Schizosaccharomyces pombe: one gene and its partner. The protein of the gene in region 1 purifies or fractionates together with the protein of each later gene. This does not show direct contact. Each region holds a gene or a part of one and is shown on either strand. Other genes may lie near its edges.

Evidence for each region. Proteins that work in one complex are often made in the same cells at the same time.
Region 2: the proteins of ell1 (region 1) and ebp1 purify together in Schizosaccharomyces pombe (affinity purification with western blotting; one study listed by BioGRID). This does not show direct contact.

Annotation. Positions count from the first base shown.
Region 1 is NC_003423.3:2,028,085-2,032,713, forward strand, and holds ell1 (RNA polymerase II transcription elongation factor Ell1), read right to left. Parts: upstream 3,057-4,629; 5' UTR 2,952-3,056; coding exon 2,787-2,951; intron 2,712-2,786; coding exon 2,503-2,711; intron 2,403-2,502; coding exon 1,175-2,402; 3' UTR 526-1,174; downstream 1-525. Other genes in the region: origin recognition complex subunit Orc4, read left to right, coding at 1-377.
Region 2 is NC_003424.3:3,275,992-3,280,597, reverse strand, and holds ebp1 (protein Ebp1), read left to right. Parts: upstream 1-2,064; 5' UTR 2,065-2,450; coding exon 2,451-3,947; 3' UTR 3,948-4,106; downstream 4,107-4,606. Other genes in the region: protein Xrc4, read left to right, coding at 613-733, 779-915, 1,059-1,178, 1,231-1,647; puf4 (RNA-binding protein), read right to left, coding at 4,368-4,606.

The DNA of each region.
Region 1 (4,629 bases):
TAAGTTTGTTGGAGTTGGCTTTATTGATTTGTGCAGTTCGCTTTGAAGCTAGGGATATTCCAGCTTGCAACTTTAATAGTGCTTATCAAGAATATCGACAACTGCATCAATCTTCCGTTATAAATGCCGCAGCATCGGGAGCTCTAGCTCATAGCAGTCGATTATGGGGAAGGGATGTTGCTTTGGAAGCATGGGAAACTTTAGGGTCTATAGGATTGATTATACCGGTTCACCCTTCTACTAATGTTAGTGGTGCCCTTTCTAGACAATGCCAACTATGGCAGCCAGAAGTGGATATCAATGTAGTTTCTGTAGGTTTGCGTGAACATCGACGTTTGCCATCGCATTATTACCGCTGGCTTAAGGAGGTTATATAAAAGAATTGCAATTTTTTTTGTTTCTGTTGTATTTTATTAACTTTGTATCCTTTTTAAATAAAACAATATAAGAAAGGCAAAAATAAGGACGACCGTGTTGAAGGTTATATACCATTACACATTGTAGTTATTACCGATATTTGATAAATAAAAGTTTTAATTTTAATTGATTAAATATTTGCTTCTGATAAACGAAAATAGAATTTACTTTTTTGCTATCAGCGCTGGTTAAGCTGTGAAAGAAGCTGGTCTCCAAATATTTATATTAGATGACTTATGAAGGTAAATCAGTAATCAACGGATCAATGAATACCTAAACATTTTAATGATAGTTTTTGTTTCAGGGTCACTTTGTACTAATGTAGAAAAAAAATTTTGGCGGAATATTTCATGAAAGGTGGTAAGAAAAACAAAATAAATTAGATTAAACGAAAGGACTCATCAGTGGTACTTTTAAGCCCAAAAAAAAGTGATAGCACATAAGGAATTCACGCAGTTTAACTAACTTAAAGATATGTCATAAAAGTTTAAAAAAAGCATCACAATAACAAGATTCTCATTATAAAATCAAAAACAAACTAATATTCAATAAACTGCTAATTGAATATGAATTTAACCAATTTATCTTTTAAACGAAACACTAGCCTTAACGAAAGCAGGAAAAAACAGCCTGCACTCGTTGTAGGCACCGTACAGTATTGAAACAATTTTGAATTGAAGCTGAGATAACCGTCACCTTTATAAAACATTGGAAATAAAACTGAGTGTTAAGAAAACCGGAAATTTATTGAGAAAAGTTAGAGGGCTAGCTCCGAGGAAGCATCGTAAAGTGTATTTTTCCAGCTTTTGAGCTGAGAATGTAGAGATATAAGTTCATCTTGGAGCTTGTTTAAATTAGGATTATTAGTATCATTATTATCATAATATGAAGAGACTTTTAAATATAAATTCTTATAACGCGGATAAGTTTCCCGAAATCTTTTTGCCAATGCTCGCATTTCTTCTGTAGTGTAACGTTGTTGACGACGCTTTTTAGCTATCCATGCATCTTGTTCATTCTTCTTGGGAGAGTTTGCATTGGGTTCAAGAGTGCCGTTGGTAGAAGACGAAGACGTAGGAAACGGGGTGGAAGGCAAGGATTGCGGAGGAGAACGACTTTTTCGTTTGATATGTGGAGATGAAAGATTGGAGCAAGTAGTGGAAGAGCCAGGTGAAGGAATGTCGGAGATAGGAGTATTTAAGTTTGTTGTATCGCTTAATGAAACGGCAGAGCTTTCTGAACCAGTACGAGAAAGATTTCCCGATGTTTTTCGGTGTGAGGAGGGGGAAAGCAAGGGAGAATAGTTTGAAGCGTTGAGCTTGGGTATGCGGTGTTGTTGTTGATAAGAAGAAACCGAGGAAATAGAAGGCATTGAAGGAGAGTTAGTGTCAATGAATGAAGGAACATGAGAAGTGGGTTGGGCCAATTGGGGAGGAATTCGTTTTTCATTGTTGAGTTTAGTAATGTTTTTTTGTTTTGACACTAAAAGTGAACGTTCAGGAGCATCAGGAGGCAATTGCATGTTGTCGAATGCATTGGACATACGACTTAGAACGGCATTCCTGTCTGCAATACTATAAGGACGCCAATCAAAGACTCGTACATCTTTATACACAGGATTAAGGAGCTCCCATTGATTCATGTTGTTCTTCCAAGCGACTTCTGGTAATAACGCTTGTAATTTGGAAAGTGACGCCTTTGTTCTTAAACGAAGAAAATCTTCAGTTTCGGGAGCGATTGCCAAAAGTTGGATAACACGAGTACGAAGATCAATGCCTTTGGCCGAGTTTTTATCACCAGAATAATGTGGTGATGCAGACGGTTGCGAGACGGGAAGGTTTGGGGAAGGTGTATTTGTGGGAGAAGAGGAAAGACCAATTCGTGAAGCACTTGTATTGAGAGGCCTGAGTCCATTTTTTTTTAACTGCTTTTGCTTCCTAGCAGTTGTATTTTTTGAACCACCATCATTTTGAAGGGTAACAATTCTATTTTTACAAATATTAGCATAATTTGAAAAGAGAAAGATTGAAAGTAACTTCTTCCAATCCATAGAATTGGTTGATACTATTGTCGTTCTTTTCATACCTTTTTTCTTCTTTTTCCTTTTGAGCTTCCTGCGTACGATTTTTCACTCGCTCAGCAGTTAAACTGTCGAGCTCTCTACGAAGCTGTAGCTTTTGTGAGACACGGCCAACCAGTTGTAACGAATTCGAGTCCACCAGTCTGTAAATCTCATGCGGAGCAGTTTCTGGAACGGAAGTGCATTTGTAAGACCTATCGTTCGCTAATATTGACTAAAAAAAGTATATTGGTTAGCAACATTCAAAATTCATTCTTCTTTATCGCTCTTCACAAATGCCCACACATACAGTACCAACATCACTGCATTCCAAGCTCACGTCTGTTATCGTTCCTGAAAGATATCCTTCGAGAAACTCTTTGGGTAATTGTACCAGCATCAATAAAGGCGATTCTTCTTCATTTCCGCCTAATGCTACAGGTAGAGCATCAGAAATGCTACTGTTCCTAATCATTCAACCCAAATAGATCGATAGTAAAAGCCTCTCAAAATGATTATATTAGCTAGATGGCACAACGGAGAAGCTTGTTTAAGAAGCCAGTAAGTACGGTAAAGGGATAAGAAGGTGGACTAACATAAAGATGCACCTTATGTATGAAACCTAGCTAGAGCTAAGTAACAAAAAGTAGCACATATTGGTGGTGTACAATAGGAATAAGCAGCGTATCGCTAAATGGAAAGAATAATGTAAACATTCGAAATTCAAAGAAACAAGTTGCAGCTTTGGTGTAAAAAAATATTTCTTTTTATGTCCTTTTAGCTCATATGTGACAGTGTACTATTTTTTGAGATGAATATCGGACTTTGGTTTACATAGTTCAGTTTTTAGTAACAGTGGAAAAATGAGAATTAGGGAGCGATGCTGAACAAATTTGAGCTTGCGTCCTTAGTTTACTATCTAGATATAAGTAAATCATATTTTTCTAAAAAAATAAATTTCCGTTAGGTTCGAAATTCTAAGCGGCGGAATAGGGTTACGGGACCAGAAATTTATTGATGAACTAGTGAATCTTTTAGACTTATTTAATCAATGACTTCTTGAAAACTCTACTGAATTGAAAACAATGATGCTTTACAAATTTTGCCAATTATTCCATAATTGAATTCACTTTTGTTGACGAACTGTGGTATTTATAATTTCAAACAAAAAAAAGGTCTTTAGTACATTAATTTATCAGGTTAAATGAGCCAATATAAAGCTGTTTAATTAACCACAGATTTTTTTTTGATTTTACTTGCTGGTCCTGTTATTCGTGTTTATCAAACTACGCAATTATTTAGATTGTTTTTATGATAATTTGTTAATTTCATTTAATTCAAATCGAATAACGAACCATTTGTTTTTCATTGAATCTTTACATATGTTTACTACATAGTGAATATATTTATAGTCTAGAAACAGTCTTCTTCTGAGTGGAATTATCTATCCTTTAAAATTCATGTTACTAATACAAATATAGTATAACTAAAGTTCCGAAATACTTGATGATTCAGAATAACTGGTATTAAGACAAAAGTAATGACTAGGTTTAAAGCATAGAAGATATATATGTTTAAAATATATCTACAGACATCCAAGGTCGGGTAGCATAGTTGGTTATTGCGCACGACTGTTAATCGTGAGGTCGAGGGTTCGAGTCCCTCCCTGACCGGATATATTTTTGTGTAAATATATTTTGTATATACACAGTTAAACGAGTACTACCAGTTATTTTATTATTGTGCTCATTGAAAATTCTTTCAAAAATCATGTTGAAGCTTTTAACAAAATTTAAAATACCTCTTATCTTTTCTTACACTATATATCTTGTTAAATTTTTTGACAAACGTCTACGGCCATACCTAGGCGAAAACACCAGTTCCCGTCCGATCACTGCAGTTAAGCGTCTGAGGGCCTCGTTAGTACTATGGTTGGAGACAACATGGGAATCCGGGGTGCTGTAGGCTTTTTGCCATATATGTTTTGGTTTCCACTATCGTGCGAACGATTTCAATAAACAAACATTCGTGTTTTTTTCGCTTATGCAAATGGAAAATGTTCATACCAATTTTTAACTCCATAAAAGCCGATATTCCTTACAGAAGATTAACCCGATAAACCCTCGCAGTGATTGAATGAATTGAACGGAATG
Region 2 (4,606 bases), on another chromosome or scaffold:
CTCTAAAGCCTTGACAGAGCATAAACCTTTACATTTATGTAAAAACCTCAGTTTTATATCTCGATGTAGTTTTGAATCTCGAAGAGAAAAAATGATATTATAAACAAGGCCTTGTTAACCAACACATATTGATGAAAGCATTTTTTTTGAAATCACCTTAGTTTAATTGACTTTAAAAAACTTTCAATAACTTGTAGTAGTCATCATCTAATTGCATTGCGAATTTCTTCTTGCTAACTACTTTAATTTGAAATTCTTTTTTTTTAACAAACATGGTATAAACATTTGCGCTGATTCTTATCCAATATTCTCGTATGGAAACCTCTTATATTATACTAAACGATTTGTTATATCACCGAATCAGCAATTTTTCAATCAGAAAGATTCTTTTCTTTCAATGAAAAAAATCTAAAAAAAAAACAATTTTCAAGATAGTGTTTCTTAGTAACCTAAAATTTTAAACTCATTCGGCTTCCAATTTATCAGCTGCGCACACTAAAACATTAGCAGTCAACAAGTTGGATTATCAAGTTTCTTATTACGTTTCCCTGCAAACTTGCACTGAGACCGCCTTGATGTTTCACATCAAATTTTGAGCTCAGGAAACAACTCATGAAATTTTTTTTATCACTGAAAGATTTTAAAGGAGAAAAATTCGTCCTACGCTCAGAATTGGATGAAAGCAGTGCTTTCTTGTGCGCAATTAGCCCAACCTGTAGATACGTCTTAAGGGGTATAGAAAGATAGTGTGTAAAACGTTCTTTTACTAATTTTCCAGATGAAATACCTTGGAAACGATTGCAACGGAACGTAACCTCAGAATCATTAACCGATGAACTTATCGTGGATCTGTTGTGCGGCAGATCCGAATCAAAGCACACATTGCAATTAGTGGTTTTAGAGAATTTATGTAGGGTATGTTTATTGCAATACTGTAGTAGTTAATGAATTGCTGATTGTGTGATGACTTTCAAACCAAGGAATTTTTTTGTTCGTCGCATCTACCCCATTTTGCCAGTCGTTTTTGAGCTGATTAATTAAATATGCTAACAATTTAGATTTATATCAACTACGTTGATCCTTTCCCTTTACGTATTGCCTGGTTTGAATTAGAACAACAAGCATTGAAAGACCATGAACATTTTGATGTACTGTGGGAGTGCAGCCATTCGATAAAGGTATGAAAAAAACTTTACATTCTTTCTCTTTTGCTGATTATTTGAAATTTAGGACCTTGCCCTTGCTAGTATGGCTCAACAAAAAAACGAGCTTCAAAAGCTTATGGCTTATACAGAGCAACTTCAAGAAGAATGTAAGTCTAGGGAACGAAAGCTTATAATGAAATTTGCAGATATGATTAAAAATGCAAGAAATAACGAGGATAATGAAGACAACCACCATATTAATTATGAGGATGAATCTGATGTCGGGACAGACGAGCAAAAGCAGCAAGAGGGAGTCAATTCTTCCGCAGTCTCTGATACTGACGAATCTGCAGTTTCTGATGAATTTATGCAGATAAAAGAAGAATTTCCAATGAAAGCATTGAGCGCTTCACCAACTGCAGACGCTTCTCCCGAGTCAGCAGGTGAAGATGATTCACATAGGCGATCGTCCCACGAAAGTAGCGAAACAGTTTCTGAGTAGCTTCGGAAGGAATGATAATATGATACATTACGCTTCAAGTTAAACTACCCGAAATGCCTCTCCATTCTTACACTTTTTTCAGTATTCAGGTCAACTTTATTCTCTTTAATTTCAAAACAATAATAAATTTACTTAAATTTAAATATTCACACGGAATCCTACTATAGGTAAAGCACTTGCAAGATAAATACAATATGTATAGTTGGTGAATTTTTATAAAGATGTCTTATAAGCCTAGCACTTCCTTCCTGTACAAAAGAATGAAGCATGTTTGCGATCGTGTTTACCATGCTATTATTTTCTGATCCACTTTTTCTTCAGCAAATTTACTATTTACATATATAATTTGTTACTCAAGGTTGGGCGCGTTCTGAAGTAACGTGTTTATTACTTGTCGACAATACGCTTCATAATTTCACCAAAATCCTATAACCAAGCCTGTTGTAATTTTATACTGGGATTTAGGCTTGAATATTCTTTTTTGACGGCATTTAGCAATTTTTGGCTTTGGATAAATGAATGCTTAGCTGTGTGGGCAAACGGGTTTTCGCTATTGGAAACGCAGTTACTAATTTGAATTTGCTAACATTCATACTGTTTTTAAATTAAATGCTGTGAAGATTTCTTTTCTTAAACTTTTCATATCTTTTCGAGTTACATGCTATCGGTAATTGCGCTAATTGACGCGAATTCTTAATATAATAGGCATTATTTGTTGTCTTCTAATCGAAATCTTTTAATTCCATAGCATATCTCTTTTTTAAGTAAATACTTTTATTTGAATAGTTTATACAGCGCATGCGATGAGCAACGACAGCAGTGATAATCAAATTCGTCGTCGGCATCATCCAGTACTGCCTAAGGGTTCCTTTCAGAAAAAGGACGATTCTATCGTCTTAGAACAGGAATTATCTACTCCAAAACAAGTCAACCAAGCCCGTCCAAAGTTTCCATCTCCAATTACTCCTACTCTTCCTGAAATGCATCTTCCCGTAGGGAATTCAAAATTCCAAGCGGTATTGCCAAGCTTGATAAGCCCTACGCTTCCTCCTGGGTTTGGAATGGCAAGCGATGACTCTGAAGCATCGTTAGCAGAGAACGATTTACATCCCTTGGATAACGATTCTACACGTACTAGCAAAACGCTTAAAAATTCATCAGAGGTTTTAACCGCTTCCAAACTTACTGATGAAGGTAATTCTAAACCTTTGTTGGAGGAAGGGGAGGTAGCTGTCAGTTCTCCAATTCTCCTTGATTCAAAAGATGTAATAATGGGAGTCACTAAGAGCTCAAAAAATCTAGTTGAAGATGCTCACAAATCAAAGAAGGCCTCCACGAACAGTTCCATAAATAATATGGTATCTACTGTAAATTCTGAAAATTCTAATGTTAATAATGGATCCTCGTTGAATGGTAACACCAGCAGCAATCTCAAGAGAAAAGCCAATGTAACGTTAGGTGATTATAAGCGCTTAAAAGTAAAAAACAAGAATCCTTCTTCCCAAGAGCTGATCACAGCTGATGTTGACAAAACATCTGGTTCACTGTCTGAAAAGTCGGAAGTAAATCATGCCTCTTTGAAGAAAACGTATATGCGTCTTCTTAACAGTGGGAAAATGCAAAAGAAAGAATGTGATAAGAAAGGAAAATTTTTCGAAGCGTACGCTGTAGATGCTGTTTTATGTTACACAGTTGCTTTTCACCTACAGAATCTTTCCAATCTTTCGAGAAACCATCCCGCTACTACGAGTAACTGGAGAACCCTCCCTGCGTATATTCAGTTTCTCATAAAAGAAGAGGATAAACTGGATCCTTGTATTCAAGGACTATTTTTTCTTTTACTCGGGATTGCATTTCGTGAAATTTTTCATATCGAGGTTATGAGGATACGACACTCACAATTGAATCTTATGAGAGACATAAAAGAAAGCTCAAGTGGATTAACATCTGCCAAGTCCCTCGGTGATGCACAGAATTTATGTGAGAATGCGGTGCGCCTTTACTCTTCGTATAAACATTACATTACATCTATGAAGAAGGGAAGTTCGTTGTTGACAATTGAATATATCTCATCTACTGCACCAAATACTTTTAACGAATTTTTTGTCCAAAAAAAGGCAAATATCCCTTTGCCATTAGATATCGACGCTCCAATTGGTGTCACAATCAGGTTTAGTCACAATTTATTAAACGAATGGATTAAAAAGCAAGGAGATGTTTTTGAGTCAAAGCTTTTAAAAGAAGATATCGAAAATCTTCAATCTTTAGAAGAAAGCTACCCCATTGCCCAATATTTATAAATAATTGTATTAACTCCCATAACTTGAAAGATTTGAGTCGGTCTTCAATAACAGAATGTCATTCTTTCACTAATAAAGTTACTTAATGTATTTTGCTTTATCATGCCTTTGTGTTTATTTTCAAATATGTAGAATAATCGAATAGATATTGATTCCCACGCTAAGTAGAAGTAATAAACTAAAACGTTTAGAATGCATGAACTTCTTAAGTACCTAGTACTATTCTGAATTTATATGATACGTTCACTGTAAAGATTTAAAAAGTCGTAAAAAAGTTCGAGGCTAGACTTAATTGTCTTTTAATACTAGATATACAAAGAAAGGCGATAAGCCTTTATACTCATGGTAATAAATAAAGAGCGATTTCAACAATGCGAGAGTCCTCCTTAATAATATGCAAATTACAGACGATAGAAACGTTTAAGCTGAAGAGGAAGTATTAACTCTTTCAGAATTACTGTACACAATAGGCTTTTCTTTCGAGCTCGGATGACGACGTTCTAACTTTGAAAGAATGCGACGACCACAGGGCGTATTCTTTATGCTTGGAATAAGTGGTTTAATCCGTTCAACCAACTCTGCGCGTTGCTTTACACTCGCATTATCAAGTGCCGTTTGAATAACATAATTAGCGAAAGAATCACGAAGTAACTTGGGAA